2 linked regions of the Drosophila melanogaster genome follow. The gene in region 2 interacts genetically with the main gene of each other region. Each region holds a gene or a part of one and is shown on either strand. Other genes may lie near its edges.

Region 1 (7,136 bases), on a different chromosome or scaffold from region 2:
TTCGTATACGCAATGTGTTGTCTAGTTTGAATTTCGAAACTGTATGAAAACAAGTCTTTGTAATAAGTGATGTAAATATGAAAAGTTTTATATTAATTTAAAAGCATATAAATTGGAAGATTATATAAATAATAATAAAACTATCTTTCTCTTACTTTTTTTTAGCCGAAATCAAGATCAGCATGCAAGAACTTACTAGGATCTGCGATCTTAACGGAAACGCAGACAAGGGAGAGTTGGGTCCGGCTACCAACAATCTGGACCAGCTCCTACCCAGCATAAAGCTGGAGCACGATCCCGACTTGGAGTGCTGGCTGCCCACGCCCGAGCACCCACAACTCCGTCTGGATCTGAACAGCACCCGTCTGCTGCTGCAGGGCTCCGACGACCCATTGATCTCGCATGGCGCCACCAACGATGCCCACGACGAAGACCATCCCTTCAAGACGCTACTGGCCCGCAAAAGTGCCGGCCACGAAACCCCACACAATGGCACCTGCAGTCCACTGACCAAGCAGCAGCTGAAGGCCAATCTGCTGATGGGCAGCCGGAAGGCGAACCGACAGCCAGCGCAGGAGCAGCCACACACTGCTCTACCACAAAAGACAGTTAGGCCAGTGCACAGCCAGGGTCAACAGCGATCACGTAAGCGAGGCGATGCGGGAGCCATGAAGCTTCGCTTTCACCACCAAGCTCTGCCCGCCGAGTATGCCGCCCATTACGAGGCCACGCAGGGTCGCCAGCAACCAAGACCAGTGCTACCACCGCCAGCTCCTCCGCCGAGTCAGGCTCACGAGAATGTACGCAGTTGGCTGCGGAAGATTGCCGAGATCCAGCGCAATGCCGAACGCCAGCAACAAAAGCAGTCTGCCGCTCCTCGAGTTGGAGCACCAACTTCGCGATCTTCACCCATCGCAGCGACGTCCGTGGTACCAACAAAAAATTCCGAGGTAACAACTGCCTCCAAGCGGAACTCCCTAAAATACGCAGACCTGCCGTACATGGGTGAGATTACGCTGGACAACTACAAGCCACGTCGTGGTCGGAAGCCCAAGAAGGCGGATATTTGTCACCTGATCTACAAGAACTACGGCACCATTGTCCCGGCATCTGTGCCCGCGATGCCGGTCAGTGCTGCTCCGCCGCCGTCTACCTCCACGATTGCGGTGCCACCTGAGGAGCCGCTGAATCTCTGCCTGCGTGACCAGAGCGGCGATCGCTACTCAATATCCAGCGGCGACAGTGAGAAGCCGCGAACTACACCAAATACGACCACAGCTACGACAGATTGCGGCAGCTCCTCGCATCGGACCACTCCACTTAGTACGGTAAAACCTCTGACCTTGGAGCTGGCAGGGACGGAGGAACAGCCTATGACAGCAGCCAAGTTGCTTCTCCAACCAGTTGGACTGTACTATCAGCAGCTCGTCGAGTCCTGCAGCCTGGGAGGTTTGCCTGTGCCCTTGGAGACCATCGAGAAGGACAACCAGCTATCTCTTAAGATTCCGATACCAAGCGGATTCTTTGCCAATGAGACCACGCCCCTGGCCATGCGGAAACGAAAGCGGTCAGCAATCTTTATCCCGCCCATGCCCGCCGAGCATTCGTCGAGTCCCTCGAACGAAGTGAGCATCTGCAAGTTTAAGTTCACCGGTGGTGCCAAGCCCACGCTGCAGGAGAAAAAGATGCTCTCGGTGGACGCGGAGGGCAATTACCGGTATTACAACGGCACAGGAGACAAGACCATGCGAGGCTACGAGTTCATCTCCCGGGATCAGCAGCAGCAGTTGCAGCAACACCAGCAGCCGGCACAGGAGAAGCTCTACGTGGATATTCCAGCTCCATCGACAGACCTCAGCCCAGAGTTGCTGCACATATCACCGGAGTCACCCACCTCAACGCTGCTCCTGCCCAGCAGCAACCATCTGGTGGCCGCCGTAGCGCCCCATAGTCCAGCCTCCCAGTGCTCCAGCTCCCAGAGTCCCATGCCCGGAGCAGTGTGTCCCGGTCACACGCAAAGTAAGTCCTCATCAGAGAGCGAACGTAAGCGAAGATCCTCCAAGCGATCAAAGCAGCGCGAAAAGCTGGAGAAAACCTTCAAAGAGAAAGGCTTTCTCATCCAAACCCAGCAGCTTCAATCCGCCGAAGGTGCTACCTATTGCAAATTTAGACAGCTAAAGAAGTTCACGCGCTACCTTTTCCGCAACTGGAAGGATCACATACCCGAGAGCGATCTGGCCAAGCACCAAAATGCCTCGCGGGAGGATAGGCTGCCAAATCTGGAAACCCAAACCGCCAACCAGACGACATAGAGCTGCGGCCAGGACATTCAGGAAACATCCACACACAGCACTGCCAAAGATTTAAGTTTAAGATCAGCTAATGGCCGGCCCAGCTTCGGTTGCGGTTGCCAGTTGAGGGTGGAGAACAGCAACCCATGCCGATTCCGTCCATGCGGGCTGTCCAACAACGCGATCAATGATCCTCAGCCACGCTTCCTAGTCGTTCATCAGTTTTTTTAGTGCCTAATAAAATGTTATTGTTAACAAATAAACTCAATGTTTAACCATATGCAAATGTATATTGTTTGGTTGTAAAAGGCATCGTAGTATGTATTTTACAAAATATCCGTCAATACAGTTATGTGTTAGTACAAAAGATAAACTCCAAAATGGGCGATAAGTCTATAGGGGTTATGCTCGCTCTCAAGGTCGTTTCAATGCCATTGCGAATACTTCTTGTTATCATCGTTATATGCTTATTTAGAAGATGTCATTACATCCCGTTTCCAGATTAGCCTAAATGTTAGTTACAGATAATATAAAAATTTCCAAAATGTTTGCTGGTATGCTTAGGTCGACGAAAGAATTTTGACTCGAATTCATTCGAAAGATGTTTGGAAGTTTGGGCGTGGCCTTGATAAGATAAATTCTCACTAATATTGTCAATTTTGTGGATTTGGTTGCATAATTGGTTCAGGTGGCAGTTCATTCAGTTTGGGGATCCTTGGCCAGGTTTTGGGCTTACAACTAAAAAACATATTTGCTTTCAATCGATTTGTGCTCCTTTCGACTTCGTCTTTAGTTCGAACTCATGGAGCTCTCATGCTCCTTAGCCGTATCAGCTAGATATGTCTCCGGCACACTGGCATTCATGGGACACACGTACTCCGTCCAGTCTACGTCACTCTGGCTCTTCGAGCTCTTGCGACGCTTTAACGAAAACTGTGTGCGTTTCACCGGCTTCAGCTTAGCTGTAATGCTTAGCGGTTGGTACCCGGGTGCCGATTCGGCATCTCGCTTACTCAAGATCACTGGCCGACCGACTAGCTCCTTAAAGTGCATGGCCAGGTGGCGACGCAGCAGGGACTTGCTCGGTGGTATCGACAGCAGGTCGGCAAGCAAGTCAGCATTGAAACGCGGTTCATAAAGCATCAGAGCCCCGTGGACACCAGCACCACGCAGATTGGGCGTGTATTCAGACAGGTCGATGGTCTGCAGCCATCCCATAATGCGATGCGCTGTCCACAGCTCCACATTGTCTCTGTCGGGAGTGGCTGCGGCTTCATCTTCACTGACAACTTTAATGGAGCGTCGAATTAGACCTTCCGCGTTCCACGATAAGCGGCGCATGCATAAGATTCCCGCTCGCAAGGAGGCTATGTGCAAACAAGAGCTGACGTGCAATTGGGAGAGGTCCTCGAGGGTGAGACGATGCAGCATTCGACCGTCAATCTTGGCCTGCATAAAGTAATCTTTATACTGTGGCAAGCCGATGTCATCCAGCCAGCGTAGAACCCATGTCACATCCAAGCTGGATGCCTTCAGTGTCAGGTCATCAAACTCCTTCCCAGTTAGGTCGTCGATGGCCAACAAGATTTTTTTCCGATGAAGTGGCATCTTTAGGTTTAGCTCTCGTTCGATGTCGACAGGCGAGGCGGTGAAGAACGACACTGATGGATTGGCATTCAACCACTTTCTGTAGGCGGAAATTGTATTTAGTAACTGGGTTCTTCTTGGATTTTGATGACAAAACTTACCGGCAATTGTCCTCATAGCAGCCTAGACCCATGTATGCCAACCAATTGCACACCTCCTGCGCTCCCCAGGTTGTCCAATGTTTTTCATTCTCACCGAACAACGGAGTCTGAGCACTCCACTCAATTCGACCGCCTGCCGTAGCTCGGGCTCCTCCTCGTCGAAACTCGGGCTCTGCCTGCTCCAAGGCGGTCAGCTCGCAGTTGCTGCTGTTGCTGCGTCGTAGCTTACCAAGTATGTTGCGCAAGCCACGGGCAGATCTTTCCCTCAGCTTTGGTGAGGGTGTAAACTGCGACATAAAGCTGGAAGTCATTGCATCCTCCGCTTGATGATGATTGTCATCAATCAAAATGTGTTCGTTCGAAGCAAAGGCCACGTTTCGCTGCTTGCCGCTGCTGTTGGCATTGACGTCTAAGGCACGATTGTTATTGTTGTTCACAAACTTGCCATGCGATCTTGGCAGGCTGTGGAACTGCGGTTTGATTTGGTGCCGCAGTGCAGAGGGCGGTGTCTTGGGCGATCCCATAAAGGCCTTCTGATTAATGTTGCTCAAACTGCCGTAAGGAATATTGGCGGAAATGGCGCTACCTCCATCGTTAGCCTGCTCTAATGCAGTACGGTGCAGTTTTAGTTCACTTAAGGCACTCATTAGCTCCAGCTTTTGCGTCTCGAGGGCGGAACTAGAAATCATCTGTCGTTGCAGTTGCTCTTCCTTGGTACACAACTGCTGGCTCTTTTCCGTTATCAGACCCTCCAGCTCGATAATCTTGTCCGCTTGTTCTGACACTCGTTCCGCCAGCATCTGATACTGCAGGGCTAAGCCCTCCTTATCCCGTTGCAGGCGACGCATACGCTCGTCGGAATCCTGACGAGGTATGTGCGTCTCCAGCCAGTCGCTGATAATGGCCGCCGTGACAGGATCCGGTGCTGGAGCAGCCAGTCCGACCTAAAGTGATAAGCGTAAGTGTAAGCCCTCCGTTTCTAGACCTTATCATAGTCAGTGTGACTCACCTGTTGCAGGGCGAGAGCCAAAGTCTTAGCTGTTGACAAAACATTAGTGGCCGAAATTAAGTTGCGTTCGCTGAGTGTCAGGGAAGACCCTGCTCCGGATATAGAAACGGATCCCGCCTGTGTCGCGGTACTCGATATAAGGCCGTCCATTTGCTGTAATGCTGCCTCGAGCATTTTGCTGCCCTCCGCCACAGTCGCCATGAAGTCCAAATCAAAGTCTCGCTAATCCCGGGTGATCGATGTGTGGTGTGCTTATTGCGCGACTAGTGCATTGTTATGTAAGCAGGTCAGGCAGGGCACGTCATTTTGCACTGGTTTAGGGGAAAATGGCATTTATGGTTATTAATTTCAGCACTAATTGGGGAAAACTATCACGAAAATAGAAGCTGCTGCACCGTTCTGCTTCTTCTTCTCGCACACCAGCCCAGCCACTTATCGATAGTCAGCGAACGCAGAATTGTGTGTAGGAGCAACATCCGATAGTTTGCTAGATGGTCTAAAGTCTACAAAACAAATTTTAAAACAAAATTAATTTTAAGTAACGTATAAAAATGCCTAAACACATTTTAATTACATTTTTTGGGGACAAAGTATGCAATATATCTAGATGTGTACAGCTATATTTGGTTTTCCATACCCGATATCTACTGTACAAAAAAGATACCATCACTAATAAGCAGGTGGAACGGTGGAGTCACGAAAGATGTGTCATCTCCAGCCAGAGCCACAACAAAACAAATATTAAGGATAAAATAACAAATATCTGAAATGAATCGCTTCGCTTATGTGGAGGCCCGTCTGAGTCCCAATGAATCCTTCGTCAGCCGCGACAACAGGGTAAAAATATACGATGGCGACCAAAAGGTGAGCAGCTAGTGAATTCGCACAATACGAAACCGGGTCTTTATTAGACTCAAATCCTTTCAGACGGACTTTGAAGACGGCGAAGTGGTGCTCACCACACACCGACTGTTTTGGGGTCGCCCTGGAGAGATTGCCCGGGCCGCCGTAACACTTTGCCTGCCACTCAGCTATGTGATATCCGTCAGCGAAGAGACTACTGCCTCTAACTTCTTTGGCCGCAAGACTCGCATAATCATGCATCTGCATCCTCCAACGTCGGACAAAGGACCCGGCCCACTGGACACCAGTCGCGCCACCCACATCAAACTGTCGGGCAAGAATGGCCTGAGTGTCGAGTTCCACAGTGCCTTGCGGGAGACTCTAAATGCCCGCGTCTGGGAAATCCTCTTGACCAGCGAGATCATCATCAATGGCGTGGCCAGCAGTCCAACCTTGGAGCCTGCCAACGACAGGCTGGCCCGCATTCAGAAGAGGACAGGAATTGGGGGCATCGAACGGCATTTGGAGGCAAAAGCCAAGGCCACGGATGAGAACATAGCACTTGCCTTTCAGGATCTCAGTGTTCTAATGGCCATGGCCAAGGACATGGTAGGAGTGTCCAAGACAATAAGCAGCAAGATACGCAAACAGAAGGGAGAAATATCTGACGATGAAACGGTGCGTTTCAAATCCTACCTCATGAGCCTGGGCATCGATGATCCCGTCACGCGGGACAACTTTACCAGCAATTCTGCCTACTTCAGTAGCCTGGCCCGACAGATTTGCGAAATGCTGCTGGATCCTATCGAGGTAGGAACTGTATTAAAAAGTTATACTTTGTATTGACACTTACTTTATTACCCCTTAGGAGCAAGGTGGCATGATGTCCTTGGCTGATGTCTACTGTCGTGTAAACCGCGCTCGTGGTCTGGAACTGCTATCGCCTGAGGACTTGCTGCACGCCTGCGAGCAGCTTAGTGGTCCAATACGCCTGCGCAGCTTTCCCAGTGGCGCTAGAGTGCTACAACTGGAGTCCCACGATGATGCCCTAATTGCCGTTGACACATTGGAGAAGGTGGAGGCTGCCGAGTCTCTGGCTGTGGAGGAACTGGCCAAGCAGCTGGGAATTTCACTCCTGCTGGCCAAGGAGCGATTGCTAGTGGCCGAACGTTTGGGCAAGGTGTGTCGCGACGAGTCCGTAGAGGGACTGCGGTTCTATCCAAATCTTCTGCTAGGCCGGGACTA
Region 2 (8,661 bases):
TTTTTTTTTTTTTTACGATTACGATGATGTTTTTATTATTTGATCAACGCACTGTTACCCATGCGGCAACTTAATTTGATCTGCTTAAATTATTTTATTTTACAATGTGTCTTGGTTACTTAAGACTAACAGATTTTTAATCCTAAAAATGATAGGGAGAATTATAATAGTTGATATAACATAGTAATTATTATTTATTTGATTATTCTAATGAATTTTAAAACTAAGACTTTCTAGGTCAAAACCAGGTTAGGGAGGTCATGAGGGTGGTGTCGCTTGAGTCTTCTTTTGACTCTAGTCCGAGGGTCAGCATTGTCCACAGCTGCAGTTCCTAGCTTCCTTGCTAGGCTGTTGGGGTGTACATTAAGCCTTTCCATATATTTTTGGGCGATGTTCTGGAGCTTGTCTCCTAATTTGGGCACCTTGAGGTCGCGTTCGATGTCTCTTGTTCTCATATACCAAGGAGCCCCCGAAATTCTTCTTAAGGTCTTCGCCTGTAAGATCCGGATCTTATTAAGGTGACTCTTCGCAGCAATGCCGTATACCTGCAGGCCGTAGAACAGGCAGGGGGCCAATATGGACTTGTAAATATTGACCTTGCAGCCAAGCGACAGTTTGTTGCGTGGTGCAATGAGCCAAGACATCCGAGCAACCTTGGTCCTGAACGCTTGCTGAATATTTGTGATGTGCCTGCTGAAGGTGAGCTTCCTATCGAGGGTAATACCAAGGTATTTATAAGCCTGATGGTGTCTGATCAGTCTCCCATTCAGACTGACACCCGGACAGCTACCTGTTCGGTTGGCGAACGTCACATTGGCACACTTCTCAGCGTTGATGCGCACATTCCAGTTCTCAGCCCATTGCTGGAATGCATCCAGGTATTCCTGTAGACCAGAAGTGGCAGCCAGGATACTTTTACTTTTCGTGAGCACAGCAGTATCGTCAGCGTAGGTGGCTATGAGCACATCTTCTTCGTCTACCTCTGTGACTGGTGTGTGAGTAGGCATGTCCGAAGCAAAAACTGAGTATAGGGTTGGGCCAAGAACGCTTCCTTGAGGAACTCCAGCTGCAATTGGCTTGATTGATGATTTGTACCCATCAACAGAGACGTGGAATGTGCGTTCTTCCAGGAAACTTTTAACAACCAAATATAGCTGCGGCGGGAACAGCCTCTTCGCTTTGTACAGGAGCCCAGGGTGCCAGACTCTGTCAAATGCCTGTTGAATATCAAGAAAGGCACCTACTGCATACTCCTTGTTTTCCATAGCTTCCAGAGCAAAGTTCACTACTCTATGTAGTTGCTCAGGAGTACCGTGCTGCAACCGGAAGCCAAACTGAAATTTGGGAATCGCTTTGGTAACATCCTTGCATGTGAGCAGCCTGTTTAGGATCAGCCTCTCCATAATTTTACCCAGAGATGGGAGTAAGCTGATGGGCCTGTACGAGTCAACGTCTGTCGGTGTTTTTCCAGTCTTATGGATCATAATTATGCTCGCCGATTTCCAAGCTTTCGGAAAGTAGCCAACATCAAGAACGCTGTTGAATATTAAGACAAGGAACTGCAATGCTTGATCTGGGAGAAGTCTAATGGTTCTATTATCAAGAAGATCTTCTCCAGGAGCTTTCTTAAGTGGCAGCTTGGCTATTAAATTCTTCACTTCTTCCAGTGTGACAGCACTCGGAGGCAGGCTCATTTGAAAGGGCGATTCCAAGTATCCATGTGTGTGCGTCTGTGGCTTTCGTTCTTAAAATGGGAGGTAAAATATTTGAAATTTATTGCCGTTGCCTTTGATTCAATGCACACATTTATTAATTTATCATTCCATGAGCCGGAGCTCAGGCTCTAAATAAATCAAAGGCTTGAGATGGAAAAGATTTAAATGAATTGGCCGAACAAATGGCCAATAAGTTTTGGCATATCGATTGAATGTCGGCCTACAGAATGCATGCAAATTAATGCAGTATTTTGTGCTGAGCAAAACCATTCGAACCGACTTGATTGCACAAACCACAGACCAACGAGCACACCCCAAAGTGCCATAATGTCAATGCCCGCCCTAGGGCGCCACAACTCGGTGACAATTGACATTGGCAGTGACAGTGACTGTGACAGTGGCGAACGGAGAAATTCAATGAAAATTAATAAGTTGAATTAACAGATTCACGCCGCGAGCAGCCATCGAAATCCAATCCGCCGCACACGCCAAGTGGGAATTTAATGGCTCAGTGCCCTCAATGCCAAATGAGTGAGTGACTGGTCATCCTGTCCGTCCTGACATCCATCATTAAGGTCCTGCCCATCTCAACTCGACTCGCTGAGCTGGCTCAGCTGGCTGAGCCTGGATGCCGTCTGCTAGCCAGCATTCAATTCGATTACCTGCAAGCGAACACTTTATTTCCGAAAGGCTAACTTCATTGACCGTACATATCCTGCTGTGTGACTCATAACATGATGACTAAACCCAGCCATTCACTTGAGGGGAATGTCAGAGAGCGAAATTGCATTGACCTCCTTTAAAAACCCTTCAAACGCAATTTTAGTTGAATTAAAAATGAACGTATAAAGTTACTTAAATAGGTGTCTAAACGTATGCAGTTTAAATAGAATGCTGAGTATTTCCATTCACATATTTGTGAACTTTCGACTCGAAAGTTAGAATTTTTTCCAATATTTTTCCCTTTTCGGGCTAGAAAGTTTTCACTGCGCTGACCGTTTTACACTTGCTTTTAGCCCTAATTTCCTGTATGACTCGATGGTTTCGCCCCCCTTTCTCAGCCAGAAAACTTCAATGGAGCGAGAATGGAATGTGTGGGAGCTGCACAAATTACAATTTGAGCCAGGGCTCCTTCTCGGGGAGAAGGGGAGCCACATAAACCAATCTCCGCCCCTGTTCTTTGCCAAGCGATTTCGCTGCAATCTACATCGCCAGTAGAATGCTGCTCCTCCTTCGGCCGCAAAACTGACAGCAATCAGCTTTGCTGTGGATAAAGTTTTATGCCGAGAAACTCATTTAGTTTGCAATTAATTAGTGGCAGCCGGCAGAGCAGAGTTGAATTTGTGTTTTTAATTTGACTAAATAGATGCACCACTACCGAACGTTGGAGAGCTTGCACAACACGGCGAATGGTGGTGGGGCGTGGTGAGTGGGGCGTGCAGGATGGGGGCGTGACGAAGTAGCATAGTTCTGACTGAGTTTTTCGCTAGGCGTGAAATGTAAATGCTTGACCCAATTGGCAGGGGGCGTCTAAAGGGAAACACAACGAAAAACAACCAACCGCCGACAACAAAATCATTTAAAATGTTTTCCAACCGGGGAAACGGCGAGCGCTAAAACTTTTTCTACGGCGCTTTTGGCGAAGACAACTTGAACACAATTTGATAACCTACATTTGGGGGTCTTGGTAACATTAAAAATTTACACATGACGGCGTGGCCGGGGCGTTGGGGGTTTTGGCCTTACTCGCAGTGCAAAAGTGGAACGGAGTGTTTTCTCAGCGTCCTTGAGCTCTTGTTTTTTATTTGGTATTAAGAGCATGTCAAGTGAGTCTGGCGAACACAGAGGCTGAGGCAGCATGGCTAAGTGAGTTTTCGTTGTTGCTCCTTGTCACAGGAAACGGATGTGTGTGTGTGTGTGTGTGTGTGTGTGCGTGGTTTGGCTTGAAGCGAGAGGGGAAATTGTGGCGGGGGAGGGGGCTGGAGTAGACCGTCCCCGGAGGTGGGTAGCAAAAGTCTTTAAGTCTTTCGGCTTAATAGCTTTCAGTTTGCGACTTTCCTGGTCACAGCCCGACCCGATTCTGGTTGCTTACCCCTTCTATTGTCCCAAATCCCCATCATCATTTCAACCCCCTTCCTGGGTGCCGTGAGTTATTGTCGTGCGATTTATTACGCGACGCACTGTTGGTAGCCTTTGCTGCCTTCGGAGGGGGCCCACATGGCGTATGCGTAACGTATGGTCGTGGTAAAAACTCACGTAATATGCAACATTTACCGCCCGCGGTTCTCCGCCGGTTCCTTTTGATTTATTCAGCCAGGTGGCATACTTTTGACCCATATGGCTTTGATTTCTTGAAAAACTCAAAACCACCAAACATACCACTACCAAGTTAAAGTTATTACTAAAAGTGCAGTCACAGCTCCTTTGATATATGTCAGAAGTAAGCCTATTTCGTTTACGAAATGGTTTCTGCATTTTCTCTCTGTGCAGGTAAATATGATTTTCGTGTCTGGCAGCAATTACTGATGTTGTCATTAGTAAGAACACCACTCGGAAATTAATAAAGATTTGCACAGGCGCAAATCGGTTTAAAAATGCGTGCAAACACTTTGATTATTCATTCACAAAACCCAAGCGGCCCGAAATTCCCAAATGAGATAGTGCGTAATTCGCGACTGACACAGATTTTTCCCTATTTGGCTGTTCGCTGGTTTTCCTTTATATTTGCGCACAGAAACAACAACAAACAGAGTGACACACAAGTTCCAAAAAATTTCCCTACTCCACGCACACTCGCACAAATATTGACCGAATTTTACTGGCGGTGGTTTTTCCCCCCCAAAAATTCGATTGTTCTCCGCAGTGTTTTTCTTGTTTTCGGCGATGCTGTGTCTGTCTGTTTGTTTTCGAAAAATTTACCTCGGATTCTGACTGAAAAAACAAGAAGGCCACATACCACGTGGCCAACAGTTGAAGTCAATGTTGGTTCTTTTATTTTCGTTTTTTTTTTATTTGGTTTTTCTGGCTTTCTAATTTGTTAGACACGCTTTGGTTGAAAGTTTTTTCGGCTATGCTCTTGTTGATTTTGATTGAAACACACACGCACACCAGCACACACTCTCCGCGAAGAGAGCAGGACAGAAAGAGAGAACGAGAGCGAGACCGAAGGATATGTGGGGAATAATTCAATTCTGGCGCTTGGAACGTCTCACTGGGCGAATCACTCGAATGGCACTGAGCTCGAGTCCTTGGCATTTGGCCCGAGTGCCGTTTTGGCGGCGTCCATGTGACGTCACGAAAGCTTAGGCACAGCGAGATGGGAAAAAGGATACAAGAGCGCCCATGCGCATTGGCGAAAGCTCGCAATCGCTGGAGAAATAGCCACCAGGGATCTCTCGAAAACCCGACCTAGCCTTGCCTTGGACAAGTGTTTGTTTACGTTTTCCATCCGAACGTCCCGCAAGAATCCTTTCGAATCCTTGTTGCTCCTCCGCTCCCAAAAACGAAGGTCAAGCTCTGGCTCTGAATCGCAACGACACCACCTCCGTTTTCAATTAATCAGCAATATAAATTGTACTTTGTTTGGACGCCACAATACATTTTCCCCGCAATTTAACTTGGACGAAACAATTTACAGACTGTGTGGTTGGGCCACACAGCCCGATTTTACTCTAATGAAATATCTCAAGACCAAAAATGTCAGTGGTTGCAACTGTTTGCGACAGGCGGGGAGTTACTATTTCAAAATATGAAAAGCCTCAAAACAATAAATGAGGATGAAGTGGGTAAATGTGGGGATGTTGCGCACTTTGAGGTTGCCAACGACAACTGCAGTCTGCATGCTTTCCTACTAATTGTAAAACAATCTGACTGTACACTATCATTTGCGGCAAAAATTGACAAAGGAATCGAAAGTATGTGAGTATTGCACTCAAAGCTGAACATGTATAATATGATCCCGACAGCAAATGCTCAAATTATTGTGAAAAGATTTAATGAACACGTGCAAAATATTTCAGCCAAAGAAATCGCATCGCCTCATCTATGAAAATTGATATTATTGTTCTCTCAATGTGATTGTAACGAAAATGGCATTTTCATTTAAAGTCTAAATGGTTTAATTGAGTTTGAAAGGGCTTAACAATTCTGACAGCTGTGATAAAAGTGGCTTTCTGATTCAGCTTTGCAGTTACATTTAACTGGAAACATTGATTCATAACTGAGTTTCATATTAAAGTGTTATTTTTTTGCCTCTTCTGCAATCCTTTCAATTACTACCTTTCGATTGGCTTGATAAACAAACCTATTTTCCCGCATCGCAACTATGCAATTCAAAGCGGAATCGATTGCCATATCAACGCGTAAGGGTGGAGTAATCCGAATGAGAGCCATTGCAGTGCATTATCCTGAGCTCACAGGACTTGAACCGGATAAATCCCTTTACCGCTCCGTGCCAGAGAGTGTAGTGTCATTCATAAGCACAAGTGGCAGACGTGACTAGCCGCAGCCACGTAGAGGGCTTTGCACCTGACTGAATCGGTCCGATATATCCTATATACATCCTCCTGCCATACCCCTCCCACCCTTCGAACCCTTCGCATCCGCAAACTCATGGACACGGCCACTGTTTGTCTTTATTTTGACTGACAATCATTGTGGTTGCCATCTGTCTGCCTGCGGAAATGTGAAGTGCAGCCATGAGATAACCGCCATCATCTGATGCTAATAAAATGTTATCAAATGAATGTCAAGCGGCTGCTGAGCCCATCCTGCTGCCTTTTTTGTGGCTCTCCTGGCAGACGCCGCCATCGGTGCCAGGATATGTGTATCTGATATCCCGAACAATGGCGGCAGAACAAACGCACACACGGAGGCGCATCGATTACGGTGCTAGTTCATTCAACTCGGCTCCTCCATCGGAAAAGGCCTAGGATATATGGCAAAACTCCGACTCCCTCGACAAAGTCAAGACAGAAGACTTCCCGCCGAGAAGAGGCGGCGGGAGCAGCACTATCTGCCACAGGTGACGCGTGAAAAATTCCACAAGCCATGGAAGCCGAAGGAAACGTCTCTGCCATGCAATTCTTCCCTTTTGTCGTAACTCAACTGCCATTGACAGCCAAGTGTCCCACTGACAGTCGCCGCCCCCAGCAACCCTCCATTTACCCGCTTTTCCATTTCCCCTTGCCCACTTTTCCAACCTGCCGCCTGCAGAGCTGCGGAAAATCAACTACGACGACCTCAACCTTAAGAATTGAGCCAGATGCAGTGAGAGAAGAATCTAAGATTGCATTAGGAGCAACTAAATTTCTACTGGCATCGTTATAATATGATATCAAGATCTAAGCGTGGGGGCTTTCAACATATCATAGCAAATTCCAGACATTTTGAATGCATCTACATGTTGGTGTAAAGATAATGTTCCATACTACAGGACACCCTTACTTTTTTGAGGTGTATTACAAGTCCCGGCCAGCGTTTTGTCAAGCCAACCAATTGTGGGGACGGCATAGCCATTGTCACTGCCTGACATCCACTCCATCCCCACCTAAAAGGGGGGAGGACATGAGACGGGAGTGCTGCGAAAGAAATGGAGTTGCGGTGCCGCGTAGAATGGGGATGTTTATCAATGCCTTGCGCTTATCGCCGACAGCCGCCGCAGTCAGACAAGTGGAAAACTATACACGCCCAGAAAGCAGGAAAAAAATGGGAGTAGAAAATACATAAAACAGCCGGATGCGTTGGCTTGACAACTTATTTCAACATCTTGTTGTAACTGTTCGTTGTGCGCTTCCTATTTTCATTTATCGCAATAAACTTTTCCGCAGATGGCACTGCAAAAAGTTAGCAGATGGAAAGTGGAGAAGTGGAGGCAGTGGGCTGCTGTGGGTGGGAGTCGTCGCCAAAGTTTTCCCAATACTTTTTGAAGCCTTTGTTGCTGCACGGCCATTGTGTGTGCATATGAGCAAATATCTCATTGCAAAATATTTGCGTGTACTTCTTATACAATTCTTGTTATTGAATTCGATCAGAGTTCAAGGATGGCCAGATGCGAATATGCCAAATTGAAAATGCATTGAATTTTAAGCCGATTGGGGTCCAAAGAAACCACTCAACCTAAATCAGCTTACAGATGCATTGATTACCTCAATTAAGATTCCAGCCCTGGCTGGACAGTAATGAATCGAATTAGTATGTAAATGTCCAGAGATAGAGAGTGGATGGTCAGGGCAGCAATTTCGCAATTTCGCTAGGATTGTGCTTTACACTATTTCCTTCTTTTATACCCGTTACTCGTTGAGTACAAGGGTATGATCGATTTGTTGAAAAGCATGACATAGCAAAAATCTGACTATTAAAACCAATTTAATGGAAATGATAAGGCATTTCATTTCTTCTTTTTTATCTTTATCCTCTCCATCTGATTAACGGGTATCCAATAGTCGCGACACTCGACCATAGCGCTCTATCTCTGCTCTCTCTCTCTCTCCGTTTCCGGATGTTGCTAAACGGTTTATCGCACTTGCCACTGCAATCGGATGAGAAGGAGTCTGGAGCGGAAACGGCGATATATTATTAATGTCTATTATAAGGCAGGCGAAGCCAATGCGGCGTATGCGCATTTTTTATATTTTTATTTCGTTTTATTCCTTCGTTTTTATTACGGTCCTGCCCCAAGGCAACGACACATTTCTGCCAAATGTTTCTCCATTTATCCTTTTGGCCCTCCCATCACGATTCCCTTTCCCCTATTTTGGCCCCCGCTTTTTGGGGCTTCCCCATGTTGTCCGGGTTTTATGGCAAGTTGCGAGTGCCGCGTCCTCAGCATCGCTTAATAAGTTTTTATTGCCCCAACTCATGCCAAGTGGGTGGCAGACGGACGTGTTCCAGCGGCGGTCGACCAGATAATCAGCGCCAGTTTCAATTTCAATTTCAGATGGCCACC

What was found. Genes that interact genetically often act in the same process or in processes that back each other up.
Region 1: of Liprin-gamma (region 2) and Liprin-beta, changing one suppresses a phenotype caused by changing the other (phenotypic suppression), as found in Drosophila melanogaster (one study listed by BioGRID).

Annotation. Positions count from the first base shown.
Region 1 is NT_037436.4:13,511,705-13,518,840, reverse strand, and holds Liprin-beta (Liprin-beta), read right to left. Parts: upstream 5,588-7,136; 5' UTR 5,444-5,587; exon of another isoform or gene 5,360-5,443; 5' UTR 5,250-5,359; coding exon 5,049-5,249; intron 4,984-5,048; coding exon 4,040-4,983; intron 3,979-4,039; coding exon 3,081-3,978; 3' UTR 2,565-3,080; downstream 1-2,564. Other genes in the region: CG10710 (uncharacterized protein), read left to right, coding at 183-2,312; Vps36 (vacuolar protein sorting 36), read left to right, coding at 5,817-5,912, 5,976-6,701, 6,760-7,136.
Region 2 is NT_033778.4:22,349,754-22,358,414, forward strand, and holds the start of Liprin-gamma (Liprin-gamma), read right to left. Parts: upstream 4,956-8,661; 5' UTR 4,635-4,955; intron 1-4,634.